Linked DNA regions of Canis lupus familiaris. The protein of the gene in region 2 interacts with the protein of the main gene of each other region in a pairwise test. Links are inferred from orthologs where the notes say so. Each region holds a gene or a part of one and is shown on either strand. Other genes may lie near its edges. The genes, in order: AEN, HOMEZ and PRKAA2.

Region 1 (9,629 bases), on a different chromosome or scaffold from region 2:
GAGAGGTAGAAGTGTTTCAGTCAAATGTCAGCAATTTCATGTGGTTCATGTAAAATCACAATGGAATTGCTTTTTAAAAAGAAAAAAAGTGAAAAATGAACTATATATCAATAAACGTGCAAAAAGATGTTCAAAATCTCTAATCATTAGAGAAATGCAAATTAAAACCAAAATGACGTAGGTATCTACACCCACTAGGATACTGACCCTCCCCTGAAAAAAAAAAAAGCACACAAAAAAACCCCAAAATAACAAGTGTGGGTGACAATGTGGAGAAATGGGTAAGCTCATGGCTGTTGGTGGGACTGCAAATTGGTGCAGCCACTGTGGAACACAGTATGGCAGTTCCTCAAAAACTTCAAACAGAACCACCGTATGATCCAACAATCTTACTTCTGGGTATACACCCAAGGTAACCAAAAGCGGAGTTCCAAAGGTACCGCACACCTACCTTCAGTGTTATTCTCAAACAAGCGGGGGAAGTAACCCAAGTGTTGAGGACTGACCAGACCAACAAAATATGGTCTATACATCCAAATGATTATTCAGTCTTAAAAGGGAAGGAAATTCTAACATATTAAACATGAATGAACTTTGAGGACCATATGTTAAGCAAAATAAGCTCATCACAAAGACAAATACTATTTGATTCTACTTACATGGGGTAGTCAAATTCATAGAAACAGAAAGTAGAATGGTGGTGGCCAGGGGCTGGAGGGAGGAGGGTGTGGGGAGTGTGTTTAATGAGCAGTTTTAGTTTTGCAAGATGAAAATTTCTGTCATACAGATTGGCTGTACAATGGAAATATACTTACCATCACTGAGCTGTACCCTTAGAAAGGGTTAAGATGGAAACCTGTATGTTACGTGTGTTTTATCACAATTAGAACTAAACATCTTCTTGAAAAGTAACAGCTTCAGGAGAAACAAACTTTGTGCTCTGCAATAGGGCAGTTATAAAATTTTTAAAAATAAACTACATAAATTCTGTAGCTCTAGAATGTTGTCACATCCCAAAGCATTATCTTGAAAGCCCCCACCTCAAAGGCCAAAGCACCCAGCAAGACTCAGTGCCCCAGCACCCCTCAATCCCTCCACCAAGCCACCCTCCCACTCCAGCCTGAGAATTCAGAAAAGACCACTTCACTCGCTTTTCTAATTGAGTCTTATTTTTTTATTTTTAAAAATTACTTATTTATTTATTCATGAGAGACAGAGAGATAGAGAGGCAGAGAAGAGGGAGAAGCAGGCTCCATTCCCAGAGCCTGATATAGGACTCAATCCTGGAACTCCAGGATCTCACCCTGGGTGGGGGGAAGGCAGGCACTCAACCACTGAGCCATCTAGGCATCCCATCTGAGTTTTATTCCAGAACAAATGGTTTTATAACAAAGCTGATTTTAAACCCAGTACATTTCCCTACCGGTAATAACTCCATCTTTTTCAACTCACAGCCCAAAGAATCGAAACTACTACAGCCTGGCTGGCAGTTTGGCGCCAGCTACAGACAGATGTTTAAGGACTCCAGAACAAAGCCCTGGAACCAGGCCAGCAGAGGTCAATGCCTCAGCCAGGTCCCTGCTCTGCAGCCTGGGAGGGAGCTGACAGACAAGCTGGAAGTAGTGTGGTTTCAGTAGTGTCTGAGTTCCTGGCCCTGTTGCTTGGGTCAGGCTGACATAAAAACCATTGTTATTTCCCGCATGCAGAGGGATGCTTGAGCAGACACAGGTCACACCTCCACGCTGGGTCCTTAGACTGCCCCGGTTGGAACAGCCAAGCAAGGACAGCCCTGTTGCAGACAGAGCCACTCCATCCCAGGAGGCTGGCTCAGGTGTTATTCAGAAGAGGCCGCGACCAGCCTTAAAGAAAACAGAGCAGGTCACAATGACCTCAGCTTGCTGCGTGCCAGGCACTGGTACCTGATCCCCATGACAACCCAGGGAGGTGGGCTGTAGCATCATCCTCATTTTACAGAGGAGGAAACAGGCTCAAGAGTGAGGTCACATACTTGCTCAAGGTCGCAAAGCTATTAAGTGGCAAGCAAGGATGGGGCTCACAAGTCCGTGTGGACCTGAGGTCTTGGCTAACCTCAATACCCCAAATGGGCCCTTGTGAATCAATGAAAGAGGGGTGGCATAGGAGATCCCGACGGTTATCCCAATAACCGTGATGACTATGGATCAAAGAGCCTGAGGGGACACCAGCCCGGGAGTGGACACACTCCCTGGCCCTAGCCCCATGGACATGCACTCTGCCCCCTGCACACTGGCAGCCTTACTTTTTTTCTTTTTTTTTTTAAGATTTTTAAAATTAAATTATTCATGACAGGCACAGAGAGAGAGAGAGAGAGAGGCAGAGACACAGGCAGAGGGAGAAGCAGGCTCCATGCCGGGAGCCCAAGCAGGACTTGACCCCAGGTCTCCAGGATCACACCCCGGTCTGAAGGCGGCACTAAATCGCTGGGCCACCCGGGCTGCCCTGGCTTTACTCTTAATAAATAAAGGTCCCTTGGTGGTAGCTCTGCACAGAGGTCCCAGAATTCAAACTGCTGTCTTGTTTCTCAGGCTTGTACTTAAGAGAGCCCAGCACTGTGGGCATGAGGAATGCCCGAGTTAGGTCAAAATTAATATGCCACAGTCTCCACCCAACATCAACACAGAGCTGCTTTCCCCACTCTCAGAAGAGTGCCTGGTGATGCCTGGTGCCAGCTCCCCTTGGGCCTGCGGGCTCTGCTATCCCATCACAGCCTAGCACTGAGTTCCTACTACGGCTACGGCCAGAGCTGCAAATCTGAGAAAGGCAGGAATGTCCCTTAGAGGGGCTTTCACTCTATAGATTCAGGACATGTTCACTGTGAACCTAACAATGCCCGCGGAGGAAGATGCAGAGGGCAGTAAGAGAAAAGGGCCTTACCCCAGGTCACTGAGCTGAGCTAACACCCCACGAGGAGACCTCACCCTCTGAGACAGCACACCGGGGGGGGGGGGGGGGGGGGCAGTGACAGCTAGGATGGTCTGCTGGCACACTCCCTCCTCTGGCTCGGTCCCCATAGCTCACCCACCTGACATTTTCACAGTGCCTATAAAGTGCCATTAGCAAACCATGGGGGGGAAGTGCCCACAAGAGCCCTGGGCAGAGGGAGCCAAAAGGATAGATGATCCCAACTCCCCGGACCCTGGCAACAGGCTAGCTGCACCCTGCCCTGCCCAGGATGAATTGCCCAGGGCTCTCCTGCCTCACTCCCTTCTGTCCTGTGCCTCCGTTTCTCCGTGGGTGCCCTGGGCCAGGTCCTCTGGCCAGTACTGGTCCTCCATGTACTGCTCCATGTCCGTGCTGCTGTCAGGCTCTCGGTCCTCCGGGCGGGGCGGCAGGCTGCTGGCCTGCTGCTGCTCCCACTGCACCTCCACCAGCCGATAGAGCTCCATGGCTGTCGTGGCATCTTCCACTGATGAGTGCCCGTGCTGGCCAGCCTGCAGACAAGAGCCCTCATCACTGCCCGCCATTCTGGATCTGGTGCAGGCCCAGAACTCTCGGAACAGCTGTGTATGGCTCGGGACGGGGGCAGGGCATGGGTGCTGCTCAGGAGAGCACAGCAATCTCAGACATCCCGTACCCCACCTATCCTCTCTGACCCTGCGTCCCCAACTCAAACATAACCCGTGGTATAACTGACTTCAGAGGCTTGAAGAGCGGACGGAATAATGAGAAGGACAGTGGGAGCGAGAGTTACTGGCTGCCCCTGGGAAAGGCTCCGCCTTGTGGATTCTCCATGAAGGGCAGGGACAGAGCCAGGGACCGGGTGGAGGACAGGTCTGCAAGAGCCCAGCCTGCAAGAACGTGGTTGGCTGTCACAATAGGGATGGTGGAGAAAACACCCAGGGCTGCCTCTACGTGTGGGACATCATACTTAGCGCCCTGGTCCCGGGGACTGGGGAAGGTGGAATGACTGGAAGCCCGAAGGCACACCCCATGGCCCCTTCTCCCGTCCCACGCACCTGGATCTTCTTGTGGAGCAGCTGCAGGGCCAGGTCCTTAAGAGACACCCGGGTGCGGGTGTGGAGGCCAGGCTGGTGGAGGAGGTTGGGCACGTAAGTGGTATCCCGGGTCTGGCTCCGAGGGTGCACGTACTTGAGGGCCTGGAAGTCATTGTGGAGCGCATGCCCCACCACCACCTTGCCCTTCAGGAGCTTGAGGATCTATGAGTGAAGGAGGGAGGAAGACCCTGCTGTCAAGCTGGCACGAGACATGTGCTGCCACCCTGGCCACTGGCACACAGATCCCTCCAAAGGGGGGGGGGGGCAGTGTGGAGAGGGCACCCACGAGCTCCATGGTCAGCCACGCAGCCTCATGTCTGAGTCCTGGGCCTTCGACTCACTATGACCCGGGGCACACTTAGGCTCTCGAACAAGTAAGAGTGCTGTCTCCCCGGGGTGGGTCTGAGCATTTTAAGAAGTAGCTCCTGGAAGAAGTCTTCTAGTTGATCAATACAAGCAACTCTGTTCTACTGGCACAGGCTCTCTGCTCAGACTGGAAGACTTCCCTGCACTCCCCCACCCCACTCAACCTTGTGCCAAGTCCTCTCGGGGCGCCTCGGCTTCCATGCCAGGAGGCCTCCCACATGACTGGCCCAGCCACATCAGGACCCGGGCTGTTCTCTCCCATGGTGGTGGAGTGGATTCATCACGTTTTCTAAGGACACCTCTAGGTCTGGCACAGTCTATCCACCTGCCCCCATGTTAGCTCAGTGTAAACAGCAGGGACGGTGTTTGACTTGACTAGTGATGCTCGATGAAAGCTCAGTACATAGGAGGCGACGGATAAAGACCCACTGGATGACGTCCACAGAACTGTGCCTGGCACTAGAGATAAGCCCATTAACAGCAGCTTTTGTTAGCATTAGCCAACATGGCCTGTCTCCTCAGGATCCTGCCCCTGGACAAGGGGCCATACAGGACTCCGCTTCCCACCTCTGAAACCTTTGGTCTCTGGCTCAGCGCTCACCACGTGCATAGTGCATGCCTCTCTTCCCTGCCTTCCATCCTTCTCAGGCCCCAGGGAGGTCATGTGCACGTTTGCACAGCATGATGATTTTTCAAAGCCATCCCCAAGCCCATGAGAATCTCCATGGAAGGATCTGGGGACAAAGATTCAAGATTTAACAGTGCTTTAGGTGCTTCCTATGGTCAAATACGTTTGGGAACTCCTAGCACATTAGTGCGATCCCAATCACTAATTGATCTTTTTCAAAGCTCCGGATAACTAAAAAAATATGGAAACGCTGATGCCTGAAGATGACAGGACTGTGGGCCTTGCAAATTCTAAATAGATACATCATACTTTTACAACCGAAAAGAAAATGTAACTTGTGAGCCTTTCACATCTTCCAAGTGGCGGTCTTTCCACAAACATTATCCCAAAGACTACCCAGCAACCCTCCCATGGAGGTGGGTCCAGATTTTATGCACCCTTGTTTATGGAGAAGGAAGCCACACGTTACACAGAGGTTAAGTAACTTTCCCAAACTCGTTTCCAGCAGCTGAGTGGTGACTCAAACCCAGGGCTGCCCTTCCCTGGCCATCCCCCATCCACACATGTCCTCACCTATGTCCTCACCTCTTTCTGGGCCACCTGGAAGGGGATGGCCTTGCGCATGTGCTGCCGAGTGACACCACTCCAGCGAGTGCGGTAGTCCACGATGGGCATCTCAGGCCGAATGTACTTGTCATAGAGGACATCGCCATGGTAACTCACTACAGAGCAGCGGGCCAGCTCACTCACCCGCCCTCGGGGTCCTGTGCCCACCATCTCACAGTCGATGGCCACACATTTGCTGGGCCGGGGCCCTGCGGATTCCCGGGGGGTAGGCTTTCTGCTCCACGAGGCACCTCCAGGTTCATTCCTCAGACGCTGCATCCCACTGCTGGTGGCTTCAGTGCCCGGCAGTGCCTCTGATGGCATGGGCAGCGGGGAGGGTCCCAGCTTGGGGGGCATGCTCAGCAGCCCCTGCTCCTGCAGAAGGGCTTTCCGGGCCATGAATCGCTGGTGCTGTCGACTCTTCCGCTTGTGTTTTCTCCGAAGCACATCCTTGGTATTCAGGCTAGCCAGGGAAGGGCACGGGCACTGGGCAGACTCTGGGCCTTCCCGGGGTACCATCCCAATCAGCTCACACCTCGGGGCAGGCGTGGCCTGGTGGGGTGATCTGCCAGCGGGGCGGCGCTCTGCAGAGACAACACAGGGCAGAGAGGCTGGGTGAGAAGTGTGCAGGGCCAGCCCTGCCCCCGCCTGCAGGGCTCCACTGCCCACTGCCCACGAGCCCTGTACTTTGTCTCAGGCTCCCAGACTGAGCCCAGGACCTTTCAAATAATCACTGCACTGAGTCAAGCTCCCCTGTGAATCACTATCCCAAGTACTTTACATAGAATCACTAAATACTCCCAACAACCTGAACAAGTATGATCGTTCTCATCTCACAGGTGAGAAAGACAAGAGTTGATGCGAACCCAGCATCCAGGGTCTCAACCTTCAAGCCAGAGCACACCTTCAGGAGCATCAACAAGCTTTAGAGAGGTATAGATATGGGAAAAGAAAAGTTACAGAAACACCGTGTGTATGCATACACACATACACACGCAAATCTCATTTTTAAATTTTTTAAATTTAAGTTATCTCTACACCCAATGTGAGGCTCAAACTCATGACCCCAAGACCAAGAGTCGCATACTCTTCCAACTGAGCTGGCCACACAATCTAATCCCAGTTTTAAAAAAACCAAAAACCAAAAACCAAAAGAATCCTTTGTGAAAGCACAGGCCCTCATCCTCAGCAGAAACTAGAGAAAAAAAATTCACAAGAGGCTCACCATAGTTGCATTTTCGGTATCTGTCAACCAAAATAAGGTAATTCATTAAATGACTTTCTACCTCACTAATCACAACAGCATCTAAAACAGTTTTTGATAGCTAGGCATTTTGCTAAGTCACCAGAGACTAAAGGCAGGGGTATGCTCGTAAGCTGGCTCAACACACAAAAAGGGAAACAGAAAAGGCAGGGTCCGCAGGTCCCTCCATTACTGGACACTGGGGATTTCTGAAGTTCATGTGGGTTTGCAAATCCCATGCAACAAGGCCAGCAGGTGCCCAAGAGCGAGGGACCATGCTTGGACAGCTTCACTCACTTGCTAAGTCACCTGGTACATTTTTAACAGGCCAGAAAACCAGGACTTTCAAGAAGGCAGAGCAGGGTTTAACTCAGCTGTTTAGAAGTTACCTGAGCTGAGCTTCAGGTTCCTTGCTTGAGAAATGGCCCTACTACAACCTGTCCTAATGAAGATGGGAGGACACAATACACGTGTGCTCACTCTGCATCCATTGTATACAGTAGGGGCTCAGTAACTACCTGCTCCCTTCTCCCCAGAGCAGTTAAAGCTCTCCTCCTGACTGGTCACCAGCTCTTCCCAGGCCAAAGCTGCCTCGGCCAGGACTCACTGCCCTCCCAACCCACAGGCTTTCCCCTTACCTGTCTTCCCACTTACATACCTCCTAACCTTTCTACATCCTCCAGGGAGCCCTGCTGGAACAACCCTCTATCCCTAAGGGTTGTTCCACCCTAAGGCTCCCTTGGGTCCCAGCTGTGCCAGTTGCTGAGCAGAGAGTAACATAGGCAGATCCTGGCCTCGAAAATAATTAGTCTCACTGCAGAGACAGAAACAGAGCACAAGGCGTGCGCAGGGCTGGGTTAGAATTGCTAGGGAAGCAGAGCTGGCCCGATGATGATTCTGGAAGGCTGGCTGGAAGAAATTAAATCTCTGTGAAGAAGAAACAGTAACCCTCCAGGTGACAAGGAGATGAACTGGTGGCCATGTTAGGGGCAAAGGCCTGAAAGAGGAAGGAAGCCAGGGTCGGAAGAGGAGCCCCCCTCCCCAAGCAGCCTGATGCCACTAGGGCATAAAACACAAGGTAGGTCAGGTCCCAGCTGGAGGAACTGTCCCTCTCACCTTTTCACCACTTAACCTTCTGTCCCCACCCTGGGAAGGCTACCACACACCTTGGTGGCCCTACCCTCAGGCCCCTAAGCTGCTACCCCCAGAATGGCCGCTACTGATCAACTGAGGGAATCCCAAGTCCCAAGGTAAGTCACTGACTTCCTGAGCCCAGGCATTTACAATCTAGCTGGGGAACAGAGAAATTCACCCCTGCACACCTGACAGCACAACCAGAGAAGCATTTACTACACTTTAAGGCAACAGTTACAGAGCGTCTACCCCAAAGTGCTCCAAAGGCCGGGTCAGAGCCCTGTGTGTCTTTGCCTCTTCCCCAACAGCCAGCCCAGGACCCGGCATACAGCAAGTCCTCTTCAGAAGTGTGTGAAGGGAGCTGAGGCCGGGCCTGCCAGACTGTGGGAGCAGCAGGGCTGGAGGTGAACCAGACAGAATTCAGGGAACTCCTCATCTGGCAAGGAGGCAGCCAGCCTCTTCCCAGGGTGTGCTCAGGATGGGGGGTAGTGAATGAACTAAGGACTCATCTGTCCGAGTACTGGACAGACAAATGCCAGGTTAGTGACGCCTGCCAGTGGAGGGACATGTTGAAAGGTTTCAGGAAGGTCTGCTAGGAGCACAGAACGGGAAAGGCATTCAGAGGAAATACACACTGAAAGTCCAGAAGGCAAAGGTCCTCCACTGTGAGAGGGCAAAGAGGGCTGGTGGACCAACTGACCAGGAGGTAGGGGGTGAGGAGCCCGATGGAGGGAACAGTGAGAGACCGCTGTTTCTGGACGGTGGTGAAAGTTTGGGCGGAATCCAGGGATTGATGGAGAAAGAAATCCCTACTGCCTTATAGACAGAGCTCTGGAGAAGAATCCGAACAGGGACAGAGATTAAGAATCGTGGGAGGAGAGCCACTTGGTGATGCCTGGGCCAGGGCGAGGCTCCGTGACCCATCCTGACTCATCCTCCCTCTGGCTTGCTCATCCACTCCCCAAGAAGCCTTCTCCCTTTTAAAAGCGCACCTAACTATAATCAACGTCCTCACCTTGACGAGTCACAGATTAGAACCGACAAGCATAGAAGCTCAGTTTGCCTCAGCTCGGCAATGGGGAGAACTGGGCCCTTTCCCTTCCCTTCTCCCAGGTCAGGGGCTGAGCCTGGGAGCGCAGGGTGGGTGGCCTCCCTGACCCTGCCTTCAAGATTCCCAGGAATCCAGAAATCAAGTTCCCTGAGAAATAGTGGCCTTGTGTTTCAAGAGATGAAAGCAAGTCCTCTTCTACATGCCCTGACCTTGCTGACATGTCAGAACCAACAATTAATTATCTAGGACACGGCTTGCCCATCCTGGGCCACCATAGGGGTGGGGGTGGGGGGTGTTCAGCAACACTGGAGAGAAGTTTGGCTCAAATCACACGGCTATTTCAGTAAGGACACACTCAAATCTCCTCCCAGCCCAGAACCACCTCTTTGGGGATCAGCAGCCAGCAGGTCTTGCTTGCGGTGACAGGTGATGGGGTTTGTGGCCCAAGGCAAGGACTCCAGCAGGAGCCCCCCCGAGCCAAGGCCCCAAAAGCTACCAACCTGCGGGCAGATGGGGAAGGCAGTAGGCGGCTGTAGGCTGCCTTCCGGGTGCCCTGGCCCTAAAACC
Region 2 (10,654 bases):
CCGACCCGGCCGCCGTGGGCGTGTGGGAGAGGATTTATGGAGGGACACCCTCGTCCACTCCCAACCCGAGGCTTGTGGCTCTTTCCTTTTGGGGCCACGCTCTCCGCGGGGCTCCACTCCCGACCCGGATTGGGCCGGTGCCTCGCCTGACCCCGCCCCCGTCTCTCCTTCCTCCCCCCTCCCCCAGGAGGCGCGCGCCGCCCTGGAGCCGGCCAGTGAGCCCGGCTTCGCCGCCCGCTTGCAGGCGCAGCGCATCTGCCTGGAACGCGCCGAGGCGGGCCCGTTGGGCGTGGCCGGGAGCGCGCGCGTGCTGGACCTGGCCTACGAGAAGCGCGTGAGCGTGCGCTGGAGCGCCGACGGCTGGCGGAGCCAACGCGAAGCGCCCGCCGCCTACGCCGGCCCGGCCCCGCCCCCGCCGCGCGCCGACCGCTTTGCCTTCCGCCTGCCCGCGCCGCCCATCGGGGGCGCCCTGCTTTTCGCCTTGCGCTACCGCGTGACCGGCCACGAGTTCTGGGACAACAACGGCGGCCGCGACTATGCGCTACGTGGGCCCGAGCACCCCGGGAGCGGCGGAGCCCCGGAGCCCCAGGGCTGGATCCACTTTATCTGAGCCACCTGCGGCCGACGGCGGGCAAACCAAAGGCACCCAGGGGCTGGGGGAGCCCGAAGATTTGGCGGGGAGGAATGAGAGAAACCGAGATTGGCTGGGAGCTGTCCGAGAGAGTCCACTGGGGAGGGAGAAATCAAAGGGGTGTGGGCAGTGGGCGGAAACCAGCAAGGTCGGGGACATGGGGATGGGAAGACAGGAGCTGGATGTGATAGGAACCCAAGGCATTAGAGGGATTAGGAACAAAGCGAAAGATTGATGTGATGTCCTATACCGTGAGCTAGTACTGGGAGAAAGGGAGTGGATTCGTCAGGCCTAGGCAGTGAAGGTTAGCCACCTCCTTGGGATCGAGTAGGAGCCCACCTGACCAAAGTCATTTGGATTGCTCATTCCTCTTCTAACCCGCCAATTGCCACCTCAGGTCCCGCAGTCCTGCCCATCCTAGCTTTAAACTCAGCCATAATTGCCTTGCTTAAGTCCCAGGAACTTGGCCATTGCTCCTCAGTCCCAGGCGTTATGACACGATTCCTTGGTTATCCCTGACGTTCCCGGGCTTAATTGACCCCTGCCTGGCCTGGGGAGTGATGGCACACGGCAATCAGAGCTCCTTCGCCCTCCTCCAGGCAGCCCTGGGGATTAAAATGAAGGCGAAACCAACTCCAGGCCTGACCTTGTAGCCAAATAATGCCGTGCCTGAAGAGTTGGTACACTCAGGGACTTCCAGAAAAATGCCAGCCTTATACCTTCCTAGGGTGCCTTTTAATGACCTCTAAGCACTTTATGCACTGTATTTGTCATGGAATAGTGAATCACAAGAATCCCTCTCATGATTCTGCCTCAGAAAGACTCACTGACTAGCCGTATTACTTTGGGCAAAGTTAACTTTACCTTTGTGGGCGCCAGTTTTCATCTTGGAAAATTAGATCTTGGCGAGGTGATCTCACAGTCTATTCTTGCTTTGATATTTTATGATCTATGAGTGGCAGAGTGTAGATTAGAAGCCCCAATCTCCAACCTAAACAGTTGGAGTGCTACAGTTCAGAACACACAGCACTTTCAGCATTTGGGTAGGGCTGAGGATGAATATTTGACACAAATATTCAGAGCCCAGGAAGCATCTCATAACCAGACTTCAGCCTGATGGTATTCCAGGGCTTCTTCCAAACTGCAGTTCATCCTCTGCCCCGTGGTTTTTGCTCTTGACCCCCACAGACTTCCAGTCTAGGTCCTTTGAGACAGTTTTGGGCAGCTGCATCTCTGTTGGGGAAAATAATGTTTGGGAGCCCCAGAGATGAAACCCTGTGAGGCTCTCTTTAGGATAAAGGATTATGGATATGAGAAATGGAAAACATTTCAAATCAAGAATCAAAGCCAATTAAGTGGCACCAGAAGATGGCAGTCTGTTCCATACCCTGAGCAAGTAAAGTGGGAAAGCTGGACTCTTCTATCACAGTCATGCCTTAGGTCTCCCCTCCTGGCTAACCTCTGCTAGTAGTTTTTCCTTTCCTTTCTTGCCCTATTCCTAAGCTTTTTCCTTTCCTTGTCCCTCTCTCTCATCACTTTAATTTTCCTTTTAGCATACAGGGTATTCACCTTCGTTTTCTCTTTTCCATTTGCCTCCATCTTCGTCCTTGTTGATCTCTGCTATTCCTTCTCCCTCCAGAAGGGGTGGAGAACCTTCTTCCTTTCTCCAAGACCATGGTTGATCCACCTTCCTTCCTCAGGCTCCTTCTTGACAGTCGTCTAGAAGGGAGAAGAGGGAAAAGAAGCAGTTCCTGATGCAGATGAACAGCTGCTCCCAGGTAACCAGTTCCCCACACCCTTTTCTATCTGTTACTACTTTCTTAAAAATTTCTGAATCCCCCTCTTCCTTATTACCAAGTCAGAGAGTGCATGCACATGGGCCCATACATGCATTCAGAACAGAGTATGGGGCTTGTTACCATGCCCCTCCTATCCAAAGCCTTAGTCTTTTGAAGGAAGATGGCCAAAAAAAGAGGAATCTTGAGTCACTCCTCAAAGAAATGCCGGTTTAAACATCATCCTTACCTGATGAAGAAAACAAAAAATTTCATGCATCTTGTGGATCATCTTCAGGTCAAAGTTCCAGCAGAGTGAAGAAAGAAATTCCTGGAAGCCACCAAACAATGTGCTTTTTAGTCATCGATGAAGAGCCCAAGGGAGGATGATGGAGAAGGAAGAGCCTGGGTTGAGGCTCAGTGTATAATAATCTCTTGCCTAATGTGTATGCATTATTGTCATGTTGTATTAACAATCATAATAGCTCACCTTTACTTAGCAACTAAAATCTGGTGTCTTGCATGCATTATAATCCTCAGAGCAACTCTAACAGTTGAGAAATATTATCCCTGTTTCAGAGATGAGAAAACAGGTCAGAAAAGCTAAGTAATTTGTTCCAAGCTCACGTCTCTGGTAAATGGCATAGTTAGGATCTCCAGTGTTTCTATGCATAGCCATGTTACTGTATTTTTTACTTTAAACAAAACTGAAAACTTTGCCATATATAATCTTTTATTGGGAAAAGAACACAATTTCCAATTGCTCTGCCTTCCCATCCTCCCAGTCTTCCAAACTGGCTCAGAGAAGGCATAGTACTGAGGGTCCCAAGCTCCATGCAGGAGCTTGCTGCTCTCTCCTGTACCAGTGTCCTGGCTCTCCAGAATCAGCAAGGTACCACACTGCCTGCCTGCTAGAGAACTTGGGAACCCATTTGAACTCCAGCTTTTCTGTACATTGATTGGGATTCTCTCCTGGCTGTAACCAACCCACACTTGTTGGTGTGACACCCTTTTCCACTCCCCGGACTAGTCTGGAACTGACCAGTCCCTAAAGTTTCCACTAAAAGGTATCCCTGACTTGGACAACTGCCAAATGGTCTGTGCTTGGGCCCTTTCTGCAAGCCTGGGTATTATTTTTTTTAATATTTTATTTATTTATTCACGAGAAACACACAGAGGCAGAGGCACAGGCAGAGGGAGAAGCAGGCTCCACGCAGGGAGCCCGATGTGGGACTCGATCCCAGGACCCCAGGGTCACGACCTGCGCCAAAGGCAAGTGCTAAACCGCTGAGCCACCCAGGTGCCCAAGCCTGGGTATTATTGAGTGGAAATGTAAACTGGTTGGAGACAAGGAACCAAGGATAATCCATTTTTCCCTGAGCTCTCTCTGTAGGAAGTACCATGGCTCACCCACCCCCCATTCTCAGCTTTAGAGAGCCAACACCTGAATCTTCTAGTTCTTCCCAAATAGAGCTGCCCCAGGGCCTGGGGGTAAGCTGGTGGTCTAATCTGGAATGGGAAATACTAGAAGTTTGAAGCAATCTTTAGAGATGTGTTACATATTAGGCATTGGGATGAGTCCTTTCCCCTAAAGGCTGGTGACTATATGAACAGGAACAATTTAACATATAATACGTCAGCTGTGGACGAGACAGCACTGTAAGAGAAAACATTACCCTGGTTAGGGGCTTGAACCCTTGAAGCAACACAGCTGGAACATTGCCCATTTCTCTCATCTAGACCTCAGATGTTTCCCTACACCAACCTGTCTTAACACCTACGAGCCTTCTTCTTGTACCTTGTTTCTCTTTATGAATGCAGCTCATTATTTCTCTTCATAGTAAGTCCTAACCCCTGAACTTTTCAGTCTAACACCCGCCTTCCCTTCTAACACCTGTGTTTCTCTGGAGCAACTCTGGATCCCTGCAATCTGCAAGTCATATAATCAGAGACCTGGAAAAGCTTATCTTTAGAGATCACTGGGGTCCCTGCTTCAGTACAGATGAGAACACAGGTCCGGAGATGGAGTGACTTCAGCAAGGTCAGAGAATTTGTTAGTGCAGCTGGAGATGGGGCTTAACCCCAGCCTTCCTGACCATATCCCACTCCCAGGCTAGAAAACAGGCTGCTGCACAATCAGACCTGGGGTTTTTCATGGCAAGGATAATATCACAAATGTTTCATTTTCTGCTGCTAGTTTCCACTCCCTTTTCTATACCGGCATAAAAAGAAACAAAAGGCACTTGTAGTTTTCTCTGTTCTCCCAAGCCTTGGCACTTTGGGTGATATTGCTAAGGAACAGTGAAGTTGCTAAAAAAAAAAAAAAAAAGACTGAATAACTCACCCATTGACTAGCTAACCTGGAGAGGAATTGCATGTTTGCTATGTGAATCCCCCCAAACCACAGTTCTCATCAGGCCGTCCCAGAGTGTCCTCATCCCCTTCACAGCGCAGCCCTGTTCTCTGGGCCCCAATCCCACTAGCGCTGAGCCTCACTTCAGCTTCCTCATGCAACTGCCCTCCCTTCTGGTTAAGAGGCCTCATGTTTGAAATAAAGGTAAAATATGAAAGTATATTATAAGATACTGAGATAAATTGATTTTTTCGGGGGGGGGGGGTGGCAAGAGACCCAGCGGCAAGATTCCTCTTCCCTATTTCCCATTTCTTGGTCATCTCATTTCCTAAAAGCCCTGTCCATTGGTGTCCTATTGCTACACAAAAGTTGGATGGGCAGAAGATACAGAGGAGCTGGGCAGCACTGGTATAAGACACCCCAATAGAATCCCACCATTTGGGTAGTGGCAGGAAAGTTATCAGGGGGCCCAGCTCTAGTTCCCTAGCACCCAGCACCAATTCCTGGTACAGTTAAAGGATAAAATCCCCGAGTTTCCCCTTGTGTCGGGGGACCATCTAAGTTACATTCTTCTTAAGCACTGAAGGGCAGAGCAAAGCCCTTTTCTCTATCAAGGGCAACCCTAAAGTAAAGCACAAGAAATATGAAGAGGAAAAGCAAAGACCTCTGTCTAATCCAGAGTGGAACAATAAATATTAAAGTGAGGCATCCTTGAAAAAGATCAGGTTCTAACATAATTTTGACTTCCACATCACCTGAACAATGAGAGAATTCAGTTACCCACAAATGAGACAATGTTTCTAATAGGAAAGCCCTAACCTGAGAATAATCAGATTCTCCTAATTTCATCATAATGGCCAAGTTGTGATGTCACTACAGAGCACCCACACTTACGTTGTGAAGCTAGATATGCTGAAGGGTAGAGTCAGCATGAGGAGCAGACACCCAAAGAGAGGTAAGTGGGGGGCTTCCCAGGGTTTTTCTCTGTGGCTTATTGCCTAAAGTCCCTCCGTGGCCCTAATGTCTTTCCTGGCTTCTCACAGTTTAGTGCTACGTCTGTCTGAAATTCTTCCACAAATTCCTTCACTGCAGCTTTAGCTATCCCAAATCTTTTAATAGTTGCAGTTCTGATTGGTCAGCCCTCAGCTTTTGGATTTCTTAGGAGACCGGGCACAAAATGGTGGAGCATGTTTCCCCTAAGTGAGGCAGAAACTCCCCATATCCATTTGGGTTGTCCCAGGGGTAGATGCTAGTTTTGGGGTGCCTGAAGCACAATTTTTGGGGCTTTTTAAAAAACTTATTCATGAGACACAGAGGCTGAGACATAGGCAGAGGGAGAAACAGGCTCCCCATGGGGAGTCCAATGCAGGACTCTATCCCAGGACACCGAGATCACACCCTGAGCCAAAGGCAGATGCTCAACCACTGAGCCACCCAGATGCCCCTTTTTGGAGACTTTTAAAAGAAAAACACATTAGTCACAAAAGTGAAAATAGTTTAGAATGAGAAAAGATAAAAATTTTAAAGAGCTGACAAATACAATATCATAAAATCAAGAAAAATAAAATTTTAAAACCTACTTGACAAGCATTTTTTTTTTTTTTTACAATTTTATTTCTGAGTGCATGCTCTTGATAGCTTCTATGATGAGAATGTTTTCTCTAAGGAGTATAGAAAAGTCTTCTACATGACACTTTTTTTTATTCTTAGTGATTTAGAAAATTTTCACCTTCACACTTTATAAGTGATAAGAATATCACAATTTTGGGCAGCCCTGGTGGCGCAGCGGTTTAGCGCCGCCTGCAGCCCAGGGCGTGATCCTGGAGACCCTGGATCGAGACCCTGGATCGAGTCCCACGTCAGGCTCTCTGTATGATGCCTGCTTCTCCCTCTGTCTGCTTCTGATGTCTGCTTCTCCCTCTGCCTCTCTCTCTCTCTGTATCTATGAATAAATAAATAAAATCTTAAAAAAAAATTAAAAAAAATCACAATTTTTTTCAGATTTTTATCAAACTTGAAAAAAACACTATCAAATTTCCTTGATGTATGTGATATAAAATTTCAGAGCATTTCAAATTTGTAATGACTAATATGCTCTGGATCGTTGACATTCGTATTAATGTAGATGTATTAGTCAGCTAGAGCTGCCATACAAAAATACAACAGACTGGGTGGCTTTAGCCAGAAATTCCCTTACAATTGTAGAGGGTAGAAGTCTGAGGTCAAGGTATCCACAGGGTTGACTTCATTCTGAGGTTCCTCTCCTTGGCTTATAGATACCCATCTCCCTATGTGTTCCCATGGTCGTTCCTATGTTCGTGTCTGTGTCCAAATTTCCTATTCTAAAGATACCAGTCATATTGGATTAGGACTCACCCTGAAGACCTCAGTTTAACTTAACTACCTCTTTATAGACCTTGTTTCCAAATACAGTTATATTCCAAGGTATCGAGACTTAGTACTTCACAGTAAGAATATGGAGTGTGTGTGTGTGTGTGTGGGGGGGTGGACAACACAGTTCAGCCCCTAACACTATGCTTACTATTAAACTATTTACAGAAGTAACTGCAAACCACAGTGATAGACCTACTCAACCCAAAGCAAATGTATCCCCAACTTAATTTCCTTAACCAATCCCAAAATGCCTATGGCCCCTCCACTGCCACTTGACAAAAGAAGTATAATGGAGGGGAAGTCAGAAAGGAAAGAGACATCAATCTTAGTCAATTGCAGTTGAAATATTTTTTTCAAGTTTTACAAAAAACTATGACCATGTTAACATGTTCTTGGGGCTCCTTCAGTGCTTTGGAAGAGGTCTGTGCAAGAGATGGCCCTGAAACTTCAGCTTCTTTAGCTATAGGGTAAATGTGCCTCTTGGTTAATCCTGCTAATATCTAAGTCATGCAAAGGAAGAGAGAACTTCCACCAATATGGGGGATTAACATCTCTATATTGAGGATGGCATGATGAGTCCCCATTCTTCAGCACTAGTCCCTGGAAGAGCTGGGAAGGTTCGTTATCTTGCTAAAGGTGGGGCCCTCCCATCTCGGATAGCCTGGATCTCTTCCTCTCTTCCAATCCCCATACAGTCTACTCCATCTTCTAAAGTTTTAGAGTGAAATCCACATAAGAGGGAGTCTTCAGCACACACTCTAGAATAGGGGCAGGTGGATTTCTTCTATCCTTGGATTTTTCCTCTCCTAAACCTGTCCAGTTCTGCTCCCTGTTCTGGAGTCTCAGGAGTGAGTGTCTTTTTTTTTTTTTTTAATTTATTTAAAGATTTTATTTATTTATTCCTGAGAGACACACATAGAGAGAGGCAGAGACATAGGCAGAGAGAGAAGCAGGCTCCATGCAGGGAGCCTGATGTGGACCCGATCCCAGGACTCCAGGATCACACCCTGAGCCAAAGGCAGGGGCTCAACTGCTGAGCCACCTAGGTGTCCCAGGAGTGAGTGTCTTAATGAGCAGAGTTGTCCACCTTTCAGATTTCCAAGCCTATGATCAGTGTTGCCAGAGAGCCAAACTGAATCCTCTAGGGGCAGGCACTAAGTTCCCACAGACATTGCCTGCCTGGCTTTCCAGCTTGATAAGCATGAGTTCTTCCCGGTCAACCGGGAAGTTATTTTTTATTTGTCTTGTTATTTGTTTGGATTATGAGAGAACAACATCTCCACTCAAAACTGAGGCTGCTGCTGCCTAAAATGTTTCACTTTTCCCTTCATCATGTAACAAACCACTGGGGCATGGGGATAGTCATGATTTAGGACAAAGTCTGCATACCACCAGTCCAGGCTTAAACCCTGAGGAATCAGAAGTTTCTAACTTTAAAGCTGAGTATATATGTTGTGCCCAAGATTGTGAATCCAAGAAACCACCAAGGAGCCGACACCGATGCAAGCACATGAGGGTTTATTAGGAAGCTCAAGCCTGGGTCCAAGTACACCCGACACAGCAGAGCAGGGGCTTGGACCCCGAAGTGGGTTCCAGCTGGGTTTTTATGGGCTGGTCTAGATGACTTCCAGAAGGGGTGGAGGAATTTCTCCATTCCAATATGGGGGAAAGGGTGGGGGAGTTTCTTAAGCTCTGTTTTCATTCCGATATGGGACTTTCTGTCAAGGGCATTCTGTCAAGGGCGTTCTGCGGTTTTTCCTGTAACTGAAGTAGGGTAAAGTTCAGCTCTTGTTCACAGGGGCCTGAGATGGCTGCCGAAGCTAAGATGACTGTACTTGTGCTAACGCTAAACTTGAGGTGCAATGGCCTTAATTTTCTCGGCCTCCACATATATATCTTTCCCTTGTTTATGATGTTTTTGCTGGATACACAGTTGTAAGATTGTGGGCCTGGCTCTTAAAAGGCTGAAATTTTTACTGAATGTAATGGGGCTAGGAGGTGTGCAGGGAGAAATACAGGGATAATACCATAAATAAAATAGGGCTCAGTGCTTAAGCTTATTTCTGATGTCTGACAACTATGACAGCATTCTAGACCTTAAATTGGAGGAACAAAGAATCCATAATGGGGGTTGATTTTGGAGGGAGTATACGGGGAGAGGTGGTGTCTGGAATACAGAGCGACGTCTGAAATTGTTTTATAAATTACTGTAGTTATGTAAACTATTAAGTGACCGAAATGGGCAAGAAGAGGCTTTTTTGAGGACCAGCATGAGAACAAAAGAATCACTTCAGAAAGGGCTGTTCCCAAGTTTAGTCTGAAGACTAAGAATCCAAAATATAAAAACTTTCAGCCCACAACTTAAGAGTGTGTGGCGACTTTGGCGAAACATCCACTTTACTGCCATCCCTTTCTTGACAGCAAAAACTAAGGTTCCTAAGTACAAGTGGGAGTTCCAGGTCCTCCTCACTGGGACGGAGAGGGGGCCTAGGGGTCTGGTGGGTCCCAAACAGGTGCTCCTTCCGGCACTAGTCTTTGGGAACACTCGTCCGCTGTTCCGAGGGTGCCGGGCTCCTGGGACCCTCGTCTTCCAGGCGGCGGGACATCTGATCCGCCCGGAGAGCAAGTTCCCGTTCGCTGTAGGCGCTGCGTTTCACAGTGACGCTGCTGCCGGCTGGGCAGGCGCGGATCGGCTCCACTTGTGCGCACGGCTGGCAAGGAGGTGCTGAAAAAGTCTCCCTTCAGGAGGAAGGAACGGGGAGTAGTCGCAAGGGAGTCCTGGACAATCCAACGAAGTGCGGCGGGGTCCTGGGGGACGCCTCCGGGAGGACCAGCGCTCAGCCTGCTCCGAAGGTCCGGCGCGTAAAGGTCGGGGGCGAGGGAGGGGGTATCAGTCGCAGCACCCTGGCCCCGGGGGACATCTTCCCTGCCCCAAGCAGCCAATCGCCACCCAGCGGAGGCCCACGCAGCCAATAACCGACTTCAGCCGAGATTCACGCAGCCAATGGCCGCCCGGTGCACCGCGCCGGTGCCCGCCCGCCGCCTCCGCCAATCGGGACTCGGGCCACCTTGGCGCCGCCCCCGCGGCCCGCCCCACCCGGCCGCCCCGCCTCCAACTCGCTCGAGCAGGGTTGGGCTAGACGGGCGCGCTCTCGGGGACAGGGGGGGCAGTCCCGGTCCCGGCCCTCCGCGCGGGTGGGCTTGGAGCAGGCCGCACCGGGCGGGAACCCCAGTCCCACCCCGGAGGCCCCCTGCCCTTTCTCCCCCTTTCCCCCCGGCCCATGGTGCGAGGCTGGGAGCCGCCGCCCGGGCCGGACCGCGGTGAGTGATCCCCAGCCCCTTCGACTTCCCCTCCCAGCCCCTGTGTGATCTCCGACCTCCGGAGCCCCATCCCCAGGCTCGGGGGGGAGGAGAATTCTAGGCTCGAAGTCGCCCGGTTCTCTCTCCTTTCTCCTCTGGACTTTTCGGTTCCCTGTTGTAACTGGGGGAGGGTGAGTGGGT
Region 3 (10,134 bases), on a different chromosome or scaffold from region 2:
CTGAAGTCCTGAGATTAAGCCCCACATCAAGCGCCCTGCTCAAAAGGGAGTCTGCTTCTCCGCTCTGATCTTCCCCCTGCTCACACTCACGCTCTCTTGCTCTCTCTCTAGTAAAGAAAATCTTTAAAAAAAAAAAAAAAAAAAAAAAAGCATGGTATTGGCACAAAAACTGACACATAAATGGAACAGAACTGAGAGCCCAAAAATAAACCTACGTTTATACGGTCAATTAATCTATGACAAAGGAAACAAGACTATACATTGGGGAAAAGGCAGTCTCTTCAATAAATGGTGCTGGAAAAACTGGACAGCTATATGTAAAAGAATGAAACTTGACCACTTTCTGACATCATACACAAAAATAAACTCAAAATAAATTAAAGGCCTAAATGTGAAATCTAAAACCATAAAATTCCCAGAAAAAACATAGGCAGTACTATCTCTGACACCAGCCATAACAACATTTTTCTAAGTATCTCTCCTAAGGCAAGGGAAACAAAAGCAAAAATAAACTATTGGGACTACATCAAATCAAAAGCTTTTGCACAGAGAAGGAAACCATTAACAAAACAAAAAAGGCAACCTACTGAATGGGAGAAGATACTTGCAATTTATATATTCAAATAAGGGGTTAGTATCCAAAACATATAAAGAAGTTATACAGTTCAACACCAAAAAACAAAACAAAATTAAAAAAAAAATCAATTAAAAAACAGGCAGAGGACCTGAAGAGGCATTTTTCCAAAGACGACATACAGAAAGCCAACAGACACATGAAAAGATGCTCAAGCTCTGTAATCAGGGAAATGCAAATCAAAACCACAATGAGATATCACCTTACACCAGTAAGCATGGCTAAAATAAAAAAGACAAGAAATAATAAGTGTTGACAAGGATGCAGATTAAAAGGAAGCCCTGCACACTGCTGGTGCGAATGTAAATTGGTACAGCCACTGTGAAAAAGAGTACGGAACTTTCTCAAAAAATTTGAAATGGAAATACAATATGATCCAATAATATCACTACTGAGTATTTACCTAGAGAAAACAAAAACATTAATTCAAAAAAATATAAGGACTCCTGTGTTTATTGCAGCATTATTTACAACAGCCAAGATATGGAAGCAAACTAAATGTCTATTAACCAACAAATAGACAAGGAACATGTGGGATACATATACAAGGGAGTATTGCACAGCCTTAAGAAAAAATGAGATTGTGCCATTTGCAACAAAATGGACGAAGAGGGCACTATGCTAAGTGAAATAAGTCTGAGAAAATAAATACCATATGATTTCATTCATAGGTGGAATCTAAAAAAGAAATAAACAAAAAGCAGCATTAGACCTATAAGTAGAGAACCAATGACTGCAGGGAGGGGGGTTTGAGGGGGATAGGCAAAATGGGTGAAGGGGAGAGGGAGATACAAGCTCCAGTTATGGAACAAATAAGTCACAGGAAGCATATCTAATTTTCTTTCTAAGGAAAAGCCATTTAAGTGACTGGGGCTCCCAACTGGCTCAGTCAGTAGAGCACATGACTCTTGATCTGGGGATTGTGAGTTCAAGCCCGAGGCTAGGTGTAGAACTTAACTTATAAGTAAAACAAAACAACACAAAACAAACAACAACAACAACAAAAAAACCCAACTGTGAACACAAAAGGTAACAACAACGACAAAAAAAACAACTGCAGGGCAGCCCCAGTGGCGCAGCAGTTTAGCACCGCTTTCAGCCCGGGGCGTGATCCTGGAGACCCGGGATCGAGTCCCGCGTTGGGCTCCCTGCATGGAGACCACTTCTCCCTCTGCCTGTGTCTCTGCCTCTCTGTGTGTGTGTCTCTATGAATAAATAAAAATTTTTTTAAATCTTTAAAAAAAAAAAAAAACTGCAAAAACAAAAGGTAACAACAACAAAAAAACCTGGGAACACAAAAGGTTTTTTCCTACTAAGTTCATTTCCATAACTGAACTTGGTACTAATTTACAATCACACATTTATTTTATGTATGAGGCCTGGAGAGCTTAAGAAAGGCTAGGAGAAGAAAACAGTATACAAATGTGGAAAGAATTAGTCCCTTCTCGTAGAAGAGATATGCAGCAATCACATAAAAAACCACATCCATCATTTAAACATTCCAAGAGTCACAGGTCTCTAAATAGCCATTCTGGCTTATGAAGATAAGATGACAGATTCTGGAAAGGTGGCAAAAGAATGTGTTTGTAAATGAATAACTGATGAAATGTTAGTTAAGAACAAAAAAACCCTAAGAAACATAACATGCATGGTAAGTAAAGAGTAGAAGGCAATGCATTATCGGTGGCTTGTGTGTGCTATATAAAGGTCATATTCACAATAACACCAGCCACTGCAAGTTCCAAAGTTTCTCACATAACAAGAATCCTTCACAGTGCTAGCAGTTATTTTTGGATTCAAAATCTTAACAAAACTTTTAATGCTTTATTTCATCAACCATATATAAAATACTTAATACCCCATATTCCATCTGAAATTTATTCAAATCATTTCTTAGCATAGACTACATTCATGGGCCATTTAGCACTGCATGTACTAAGATGTGTGAGACATTCTCTCTACCCTTATGGAGTTAATGTAGGATGGAGAAAGATGCGCTGAGTAATAATAGCTAAATACAAAATAATGAAAAAATAAAACTATGAACAAAACGTGGAAATCATGAGAGTGTAAGGGACTAACATTGCGTAAGGGAATCAGAAGCGATTTCACAAAGGAGATGATATGTAAGCAGAATTTTAAAGGATGAATGGAAATCTATCAGGTCAAAAAAAGTAGAAAAGGCATCAGAGGCAATAATTTAAATTAGAACATGAAGGCATAAAATATATGTTTGAGGAATGAGGAAAAGCTCAGTGTAGCTAAAGCACTGAGAGACCAGAGGTGTGGGGAGTGCAAGAGTGAGACCTCAACAGGAGGAAATGGAGCCTCATTCCGAAGGGCCTTAGAGGACTTGCTACCTAAACTAAAAAGTTTGGGAGACAATCTGAAATATTTAAAAGATGAGTGACATGATCAGGTTTGTGTAAAAAGGAAAGCAAAATTCCTACACAGTAAGTATTACAGAGTTTAACATAAAGCAGGCATTCAGTTAGTGGTACTATTATTAATACTGTAAAATGTACATAACAGTAACAAGAAGAATCATCACCTTATATCTTTGATAGTTGCTCGTTTCAGGGGGTCAACTTGCAGCATATGCATCAAGAGAGTGGCAACAGAACGATTGAGATATTCTGGGATATAAAAAACACCCCCTCGGATCTTCTTAAATAACGTAGGTACATGCTCATCATCAAATGGGAGGGTGCCACAAAGAAGGGCATACAAAATAACACCGCAGCTCCAGATATCAACTTCAGGACCTGCATACAATCTAAGAAACAAGATGACAACACAAACCTGAAATCCAAGTGCCACTTCTTCTCATTCACATATAACCTGTTTCTATATACACATGGTAGAGAATCGGTGTATACTGATTTGCAAGCCTTTAATAAAGTCCATGGCCACACCCCAACACTCAAGACTTGTTCTCCACAGAGAATTTGTTTCAGCAATTGCTACTCAAGTTTTCCTAGACAAAAGTATTTTATTTGTCACAAATTCACTGAACTTACTAATTGACTAAAAAAATATAAAACTTAACAATGGTTGATTTTTTTTATGGAAACATCAAAGCAAATGACCATAAACTTGAAAAAACAATACTATAACGTTTAGACTTAATCCTTTTACCACAAAACTACAAGAAAGAAAATGCATAAATATAATTTTTATGCCTTACATGCCTATTTCAAAGAGTATTTCAAACATTACAGTGCCTAACTAGTACTAGAGCAATCTCTTTGAAAGTATTTGTCTTGTATCACATTATCCTGAGTATGACTTTCATTTTAATCACTTGTTAGGTTAGCTCATGGGACTAAGATTAGCTTTGTTCCACATGACCCTATGCCTTGAATATTATTCTTTTTTTCTCTCACCTTTCTGCAGTTTTAAAATGTCCCTGATACCCCACTGACAAACTCAAACTTCGGTCTCAGATAACAAAGTGAATCTCTACAATTCCAATTAAAAGAATATAATCCATTTCAAAAAAATTGCTGTCTATCATTTACATCATTTGCTTGTACTTGTCCAAAACTCCTATACGTGCTCATTGCAATAATGCCTTTTCTTCATTTTCTCTCAGAAAATTGTTAATTTTCTAAATCAGACACTGGTCACTGAAAAGCTCCTGTTTACCACTGCCATCTTTATAAACATGTTTTAAATATACCGGTGAGTAAGTTCCAGCCTCTACTTATACAATGAATTACATGAAAAGACAATACTATCTCTGAAAAACCTCATTGTTCTAAAGACAAATCAAAGTAATACTCTATATAGTACTTTATAAAAGAATATGTAAATTATTATTTAAGGACTGTGTCTGGTAAGTAAATGATGACTCTAGCTTGAATTTAACAAATGCTTTCTTATTTGTACTTTTCCAAAATGAAAAAAAATCAAGATTGGTTTCAGTACATTTTTTTTTATGGAAGAACTCCTTAAATATACATAACAAAATCTAAACCAAATGTTTAAAAAATTGTTTAATATAACTATTCTCTCTTCAACAATGGAAAAATTAAAGGGACAATTTGTTCCTATTGTGTTAACAATCTCATTCTCTGAACAGAATATATTTTAATTAAATGTAATTAGACTGAATAAAAGATTATAAACAGCTTACTCTGCATGAATCTATTATTACCTGCCCGAGATGACTTCGGGTGCTGCATAATTCGGAGATCCACAACTAGTTCTCAGAAATTCACCATCTGACATCATATTAGACAAACCTGAAAATGAGAGCAATATTTACTTTGTGCTAGATGTTTTAAAAAGTAGATATAGATAAATGCATGGAAAAAAAAAGTCAATTCCTCAAAGTTCTAAATATATTATTTTATAATTATTTTTAAAAAGCAGTAGAAAGCACCTGAGACTAGAAAAAGACCATTTCAGAGTGCTTACATCCTGACCTGACAAAAAAAGATATAGCATATCATGTATGATTGGAATTAAATCCCTTTTCTAAATAAAAATGTTAATTCACTTGGGGCCCATGGGTGTCGGTTGAGCATCCAACTCTTGGTTTCGGTGTAGGTCATGATCTTGGGGTTGTGGGATTGAGTCTGATGTTGGGCTCCACGTGGAGTCTGCTTGGGATTCTCTCTCTCTCCTTCTCCTTCTGCCCTTCCCCTCCCTTATGCTCTAAAATAATCTTTTTTTAAAATGTTGATTCACTTGATATATATGAGGTTATTCTAAATTATATGAAGTTTTCCAGACATAAAAGCATCAAAATATTATTTACCCATTCCTACAGCTGAAAGAATGAAATAGAGACCATTACTTTTTATCCTATGCTTTCAAACCCTTTTTTAAAAAAAAATCCCTCGGATGCCTGGGTGGCTCAGGGGTTGAGCACCTGCCTTTGGCCCATGATCCTGGAGTCCCAGGATCAAGTCCCACATCAGGCTCCCTGCATGGAGCCTGCTTCTCTCTTTCCCTATGTCTCTGCCCCCGCCCCCCTCTCCTGCCTATGCCTCTCTCTCTCTCTCTTATGAGTAAATGAATAAAATCTTTTTTAAAAATCTCTAAGTAGAAATCAGAAAGGCTCCAGTTTATAATGATTTCCAAAAGTGGGATGCCAGGGTGGCTCAGTGGTTAAGCATCTGCCTTTGGCTCAGGTGGATCCTGGAGACCCGGGATCGAGTCCCACATCGGGCTCCCCACATGGAGCCTGCTTCTCCCCCTGCCTGTGTCTCCGCCTCTATCTGTGTCTCTCATGAATAAATAAAATCTTAAAAAAAAAAAAAAAAGATTTCCAAAAGTTTTTAATTTGGAAAGCTTTAATTCAACATAGAAAAAATAATCTGCAGAACCAAAATTCTAGTTAAACTACCATACTAGGGAGTTTTGCGATTTAGAGAAGGAAGAGAAATATAGTTTTTAAAGTCAAGGTATAGACAGAAACTTTAAATAAGCAATGCTGAACTCTGGCACCTTTCCATGGTTCTTTCTTTTTTTTTTTTTTTTTAAGATTTTATTTATTTATTCATAGAGACACAGCTAGAGAGAAAGGCAGAGACACAGGCAGAGGAAGAAGCAGGCACCATGCAGGGAGCCCAACGTGGGACTCGATCCCAGGTCTCCAGGATCACGCCCTGGGCCGCAGGCGGTGCTAAACCGCTGCGCCACTGGGGCTGCCCTATGGCTCCTTCTATAATCTCTCACTTCCTAATCCTTCTGCCAAACATCCTACTGTGGTACTCTTTCCAGATATATTTACTCTAGAAAGTGTTAGGTGCATTAAATTTACATTTTGTTTTTGGTTTGTTTTACTCCTGACAAAAACTCCTATTCTTTTTAGCAAACGATTAGATTTTACCCTAAAATCCACCAACACTCACCCTTGACCAAGTCAAAAAGACTGTAAGTCTTCAAAACTGCATGCAAATTTTCACGTACCTCTCTTTAATGCATTCATCAAGGAAAGTGCCCATATTTTCATTAGATTTTTAAAGGAGTTTGTAATCTCCACAAAAAAAAAAAGTTAAGTTTTCCTTCAGGAGGAAATGCAGAGTAAATGGATTTACCTAGAATCTGGCCCGCTAAACTTCTCTAGAAGAATGTGCATTTTAAACAATGTGCTTAAATGAATAGAACAAGAACAAGCTAACATGGAGACTGTGCCACTAATCCCTTTTCATGGTACAGGATTTATAAAGTTGAAACTGCAAGTTCATGGTTCTTTAACAGTTGCTACTGACCCACTTGAAAAGGCAACTCGTACATTTCTGAACAATCATGGAGTTACATACCAAAATCAGCTATCTTGGCATTCATGTGAGCATCCAACAGCACATTCTCTGGTTTCAGGTCTCGATGAACCACCATATGCCTATGACAGTAATCCACAGCTGACAGAATCTGCTGAAAGAGTCGCCTTGCTTCCACCTCTTCAACCTAGCACATATAATAGAAGCTACACTAAGAATATTTGGGACATAGAGCAAGAGTTTTAGTTTCACAACAGCCCAAATGTAACTGAGCAAGCTAATTAGAATTAGGTTAGAATCCTCAACAAATCAGATAAACCAAAAACTTGCATTAGAGCTCAACGTGTCAATCAACAAGGCTCTTCTTTGCTGCTAATCAATTAGATTTAATTTTCAATTAATATTACTCACTGTGCACAATGTTTTAGGCAATCAACAAGTAAAACATAATGATAAGAACTCATGTGAAAGTGCTACAAAATGGAAATCATTGAAGCTTCAACATAATGTTATGGAACAGATTTTTCACTCTGAAAATCATGTTGGCAATTAAGTGGGACATGTTCCCTAAAATCAGTATTTTGAAAGGTGTATTTTTTTTTTTTTAAGATGTTATTTACTTGAAGGCAGCCCAGGTGGCTCAGCAGTTTAGCGCCACCTTTGGCCCAGGGTGTGATCCTGGAGACCAGGGATCGAGTCCTGCATCGGGCTCCCTGCATGGGGCCTGCTTCTCCCTTTGCCTGTGTCTCTGCCTTTCTCTCTTGTGTGTCTCTCATGAAAAAATAAATAAAATCTTAAAAAAAAAAAAAAAAGATTTTATTTACTTGAGAGACAGAGCAAGAGAGCAGGAGCAAAGGGAGTAGCAGAGGGAGAAGGAGAAACAGTCTCCCAACTGAGCAAGGAACCTGATGCAGGGCTCCATGCTGGGACCCCAGGATTATTACCTGAGCTAAAAGCAGATGCTTAACTGAATGAGCCATGGAGGTACCCCAAAATGTGTATTTCTTTTTAAGATTTTATTTTTAAGCAATATCTACAACACCTAAAGTAGGGCTCAAACTTATAACCCCAAGATCAAGGGTCACATGCTTCACCAACTGAACCTAACAGATACCCCTCAAAAGGTATATTTTTTAAGAAAGAAACTATGTCTAATATTCTGTATCTTTAGTTGGGTTTCATTACAGAAACAACTCTGACTTCGAAGAAACTTTGTGGTTTGCTATTTCCTACTATCCTTTTGTTTTGCTTTGTTTTTAGCTTAGGGTCTTACTGTGTGTACTAGACAGTAAGTTACTCACCCGTCCATGTTTACAGATGTAGTCAAATAATTCACCACCAGACACATATTCCATAACCATAAAAAAATCTGTTGGAGTGCTGATCACCTGGTATCTTTTTTGTAAATGAAAAAGATTTAAAAAGTTAGTTTAAAAAAAAATCAAGCTAGTATATTATTGCTACAATTTTATATTCCAACATTTTACAGTATTTTAAGATGGCAACAAATTATGTTATCAAAACAATCATAGAGCTATAAAGATAGCTTTACAAAATTCTCTGCTTTCTGAGGCTTATGGACTTTTCAGATTCTCCCTTTCATGTCGACAAATTCTTTGAAATTCTTCATTCTTCAAGAACTAAGGATTCATTTCTCCATTTAAACAATTTTTTTACACTCTATGGAAATCAGGTATCATATTTAAATACAAGTTAAAAATATCGTTAATGTTAAATGATAACACAAGAGATATAATCAGCAAAATGCAGAAAGTGGACAAATGACCTTTTCTTCACAAATATAATGTGAGAAAAGGAAAGATGAACCTATAGATTAATAGTAAATCAAGAGACATACTGATCTATTATAATGTAGAGATTTGTTCTGAAATTTTTAAAAGATTTATTTATTATACAGAGAGAGAGGGAGAGTGCATGTGCTCTGGAAGGAGAGGCAGAGGGAGAGGGAACAAGAAAATCTCAAGCAGATTCCATGCTAAGCAAGAGCCCAACAGGGGGCTTGCTCTCATGACCTAGAGATCACGATCTGAGGGAAAACCGAGTTGGACGCTTAACCAACTGAGCCATCCAGGTGCCCCAAGACTTATTTTGATTCTGACTCCAACAAACCAACTATAAAAACCATTTATGGGGCAGCCCGGGTGGCTCAGTGGTTTAGCGCCACCTTCAGCCCAGGGCCTGATCCTGGAGACCAGGGATTGAGTCCCACGTTGGGCTCCCTGCATGGAGCCTGCTTCTCTCTCTGCCTGTGTCTCTGCCTCTCTTTCTCTTTCTCTCTCTCTCATGAATAAATAAAATCTTTTAAAAATTATTAAAGTCTAAATACTGACTGGATAGTTGACAATATTATTAATTACTTTAAATTTTTTAGGGGTGATAATGAAATGTGCTTGTGTTCTAAAATTTAAAAAGAGTCTATATACTATTTAGGGGGGCATCTGGGTGGCTCAGTCAGTTAAGTGTCTGCCTTCAGCTCAGGTCATGATCTCAGAGACCTGGGATCAGATCCCCATCATGCTCCCAGCTCAGTGAAGAGCCTGCTTCTCCCTCTCCTCCTCACTATTTCTGTTGCTGTTTCTCTCAAATAAATAAATAAACAAACAAACAAATAAATAAATGAATAAAATCTTTAAAAAAATAAATTGTTAAAAAAAACATAAAATTTGGGACAGGAGAAGTGGGAAGAAACAGATAAACAATACACTGGCAACTGCTGAAGCCAAACAACAGATTCATGAGGCCTCATCACTTGACTTTCATATACATTAAAAACATTCCATAACGGGGCCCCTGGGTTGCAGTTAGGTGACGTGACCAATACCTGGTTTCAGCCCAGGTCACAATTTCAGGGTCCTGAGATGGAGCCCCACATCAGGTTCCATGCTCAGTGTGGAGTCTGCTTAAGACTCTACTCTCTCTCCTTCTGCATACCCCCCCTTGTGCTCTCTCTCATTCTCTCTCTCAAATAAATAAATCTTAAAAAAAGAAAATTCCATCGTAAAAAATTAAGCAGATGGATAGATGAATGTGTGTTTATTTTTTTAATCTACCTCTAGGCACTCAAAGCTGAGGCCATTGAAAAATAAGAATCTTAGTTCTATTTGAAAAAGAAATAGAAAAAAGAAAAAATTTTTCTTAAAAGACAGCTTCACCCCACATACCCAATTTTACCAAAGTTCTGAAAACAAGTTAAATACAATTATTAATGTTTTAATTGGAGGTTATATTTAACACACATAAATGAAC

What was found.
Region 1: the proteins of HOMEZ (region 2) and AEN interact in binary tests that used the Homo sapiens proteins (3 or more experiments, as listed by UniProt). The two-hybrid records come from large-scale screens. The link is inferred for Canis lupus familiaris from reciprocal best matches to the Homo sapiens genes HOMEZ and AEN.
Region 3: the proteins of HOMEZ (region 2) and PRKAA2 interact in binary tests that used the Homo sapiens proteins (3 or more experiments, as listed by UniProt). The two-hybrid records come from large-scale screens. The link is inferred for Canis lupus familiaris from reciprocal best matches to the Homo sapiens genes HOMEZ and PRKAA2.

What each region holds. Positions count from the first base shown.
Region 1 is NC_049224.1:52,302,659-52,312,287, reverse strand, and holds the end of AEN (apoptosis-enhancing nuclease), read right to left. Parts: coding exon 9,563-9,629; intron 9,470-9,562; exon of another isoform or gene 9,445-9,469; intron 6,219-9,444; coding exon 5,614-6,218; coding exon of another isoform or gene 5,602-5,613; intron 4,197-5,601; coding exon 3,996-4,196; intron 3,471-3,995; coding exon 3,237-3,470; 3' UTR 1,345-3,236; downstream 1-1,344. UniProt on the Homo sapiens protein: Exonuclease with activity against single- and double-stranded DNA and RNA. Mediates p53-induced apoptosis.
Region 2 is NC_049229.1:3,676,060-3,686,713, reverse strand, and holds the start of HOMEZ (homeobox and leucine zipper protein Homez), read left to right. Parts: upstream 1-5,177; 5' UTR 5,178-5,626; coding exon 5,627-5,714; intron 5,715-9,816; exon of another isoform or gene 9,817-10,006; intron 10,007-10,283; exon of another isoform or gene 10,284-10,434; coding exon of another isoform or gene 10,435-10,474; intron 10,475-10,654. Other genes in the region: PPP1R3E (protein phosphatase 1 regulatory subunit 3E), read left to right, coding at 188-610. UniProt on the Homo sapiens protein: May function as a transcriptional regulator.
Region 3 is NC_049226.1:53,187,876-53,198,009, forward strand, and holds part of PRKAA2 (5'-AMP-activated protein kinase catalytic subunit alpha-2), read right to left. Parts: intron 8,263-10,134; coding exon 8,169-8,262; intron 7,055-8,168; coding exon 6,910-7,054; intron 4,882-6,909; coding exon 4,794-4,881; intron 3,411-4,793; coding exon 3,186-3,410; intron 1-3,185. UniProt on the Homo sapiens protein: Catalytic subunit of AMP-activated protein kinase (AMPK), an energy sensor protein kinase that plays a key role in regulating cellular energy metabolism.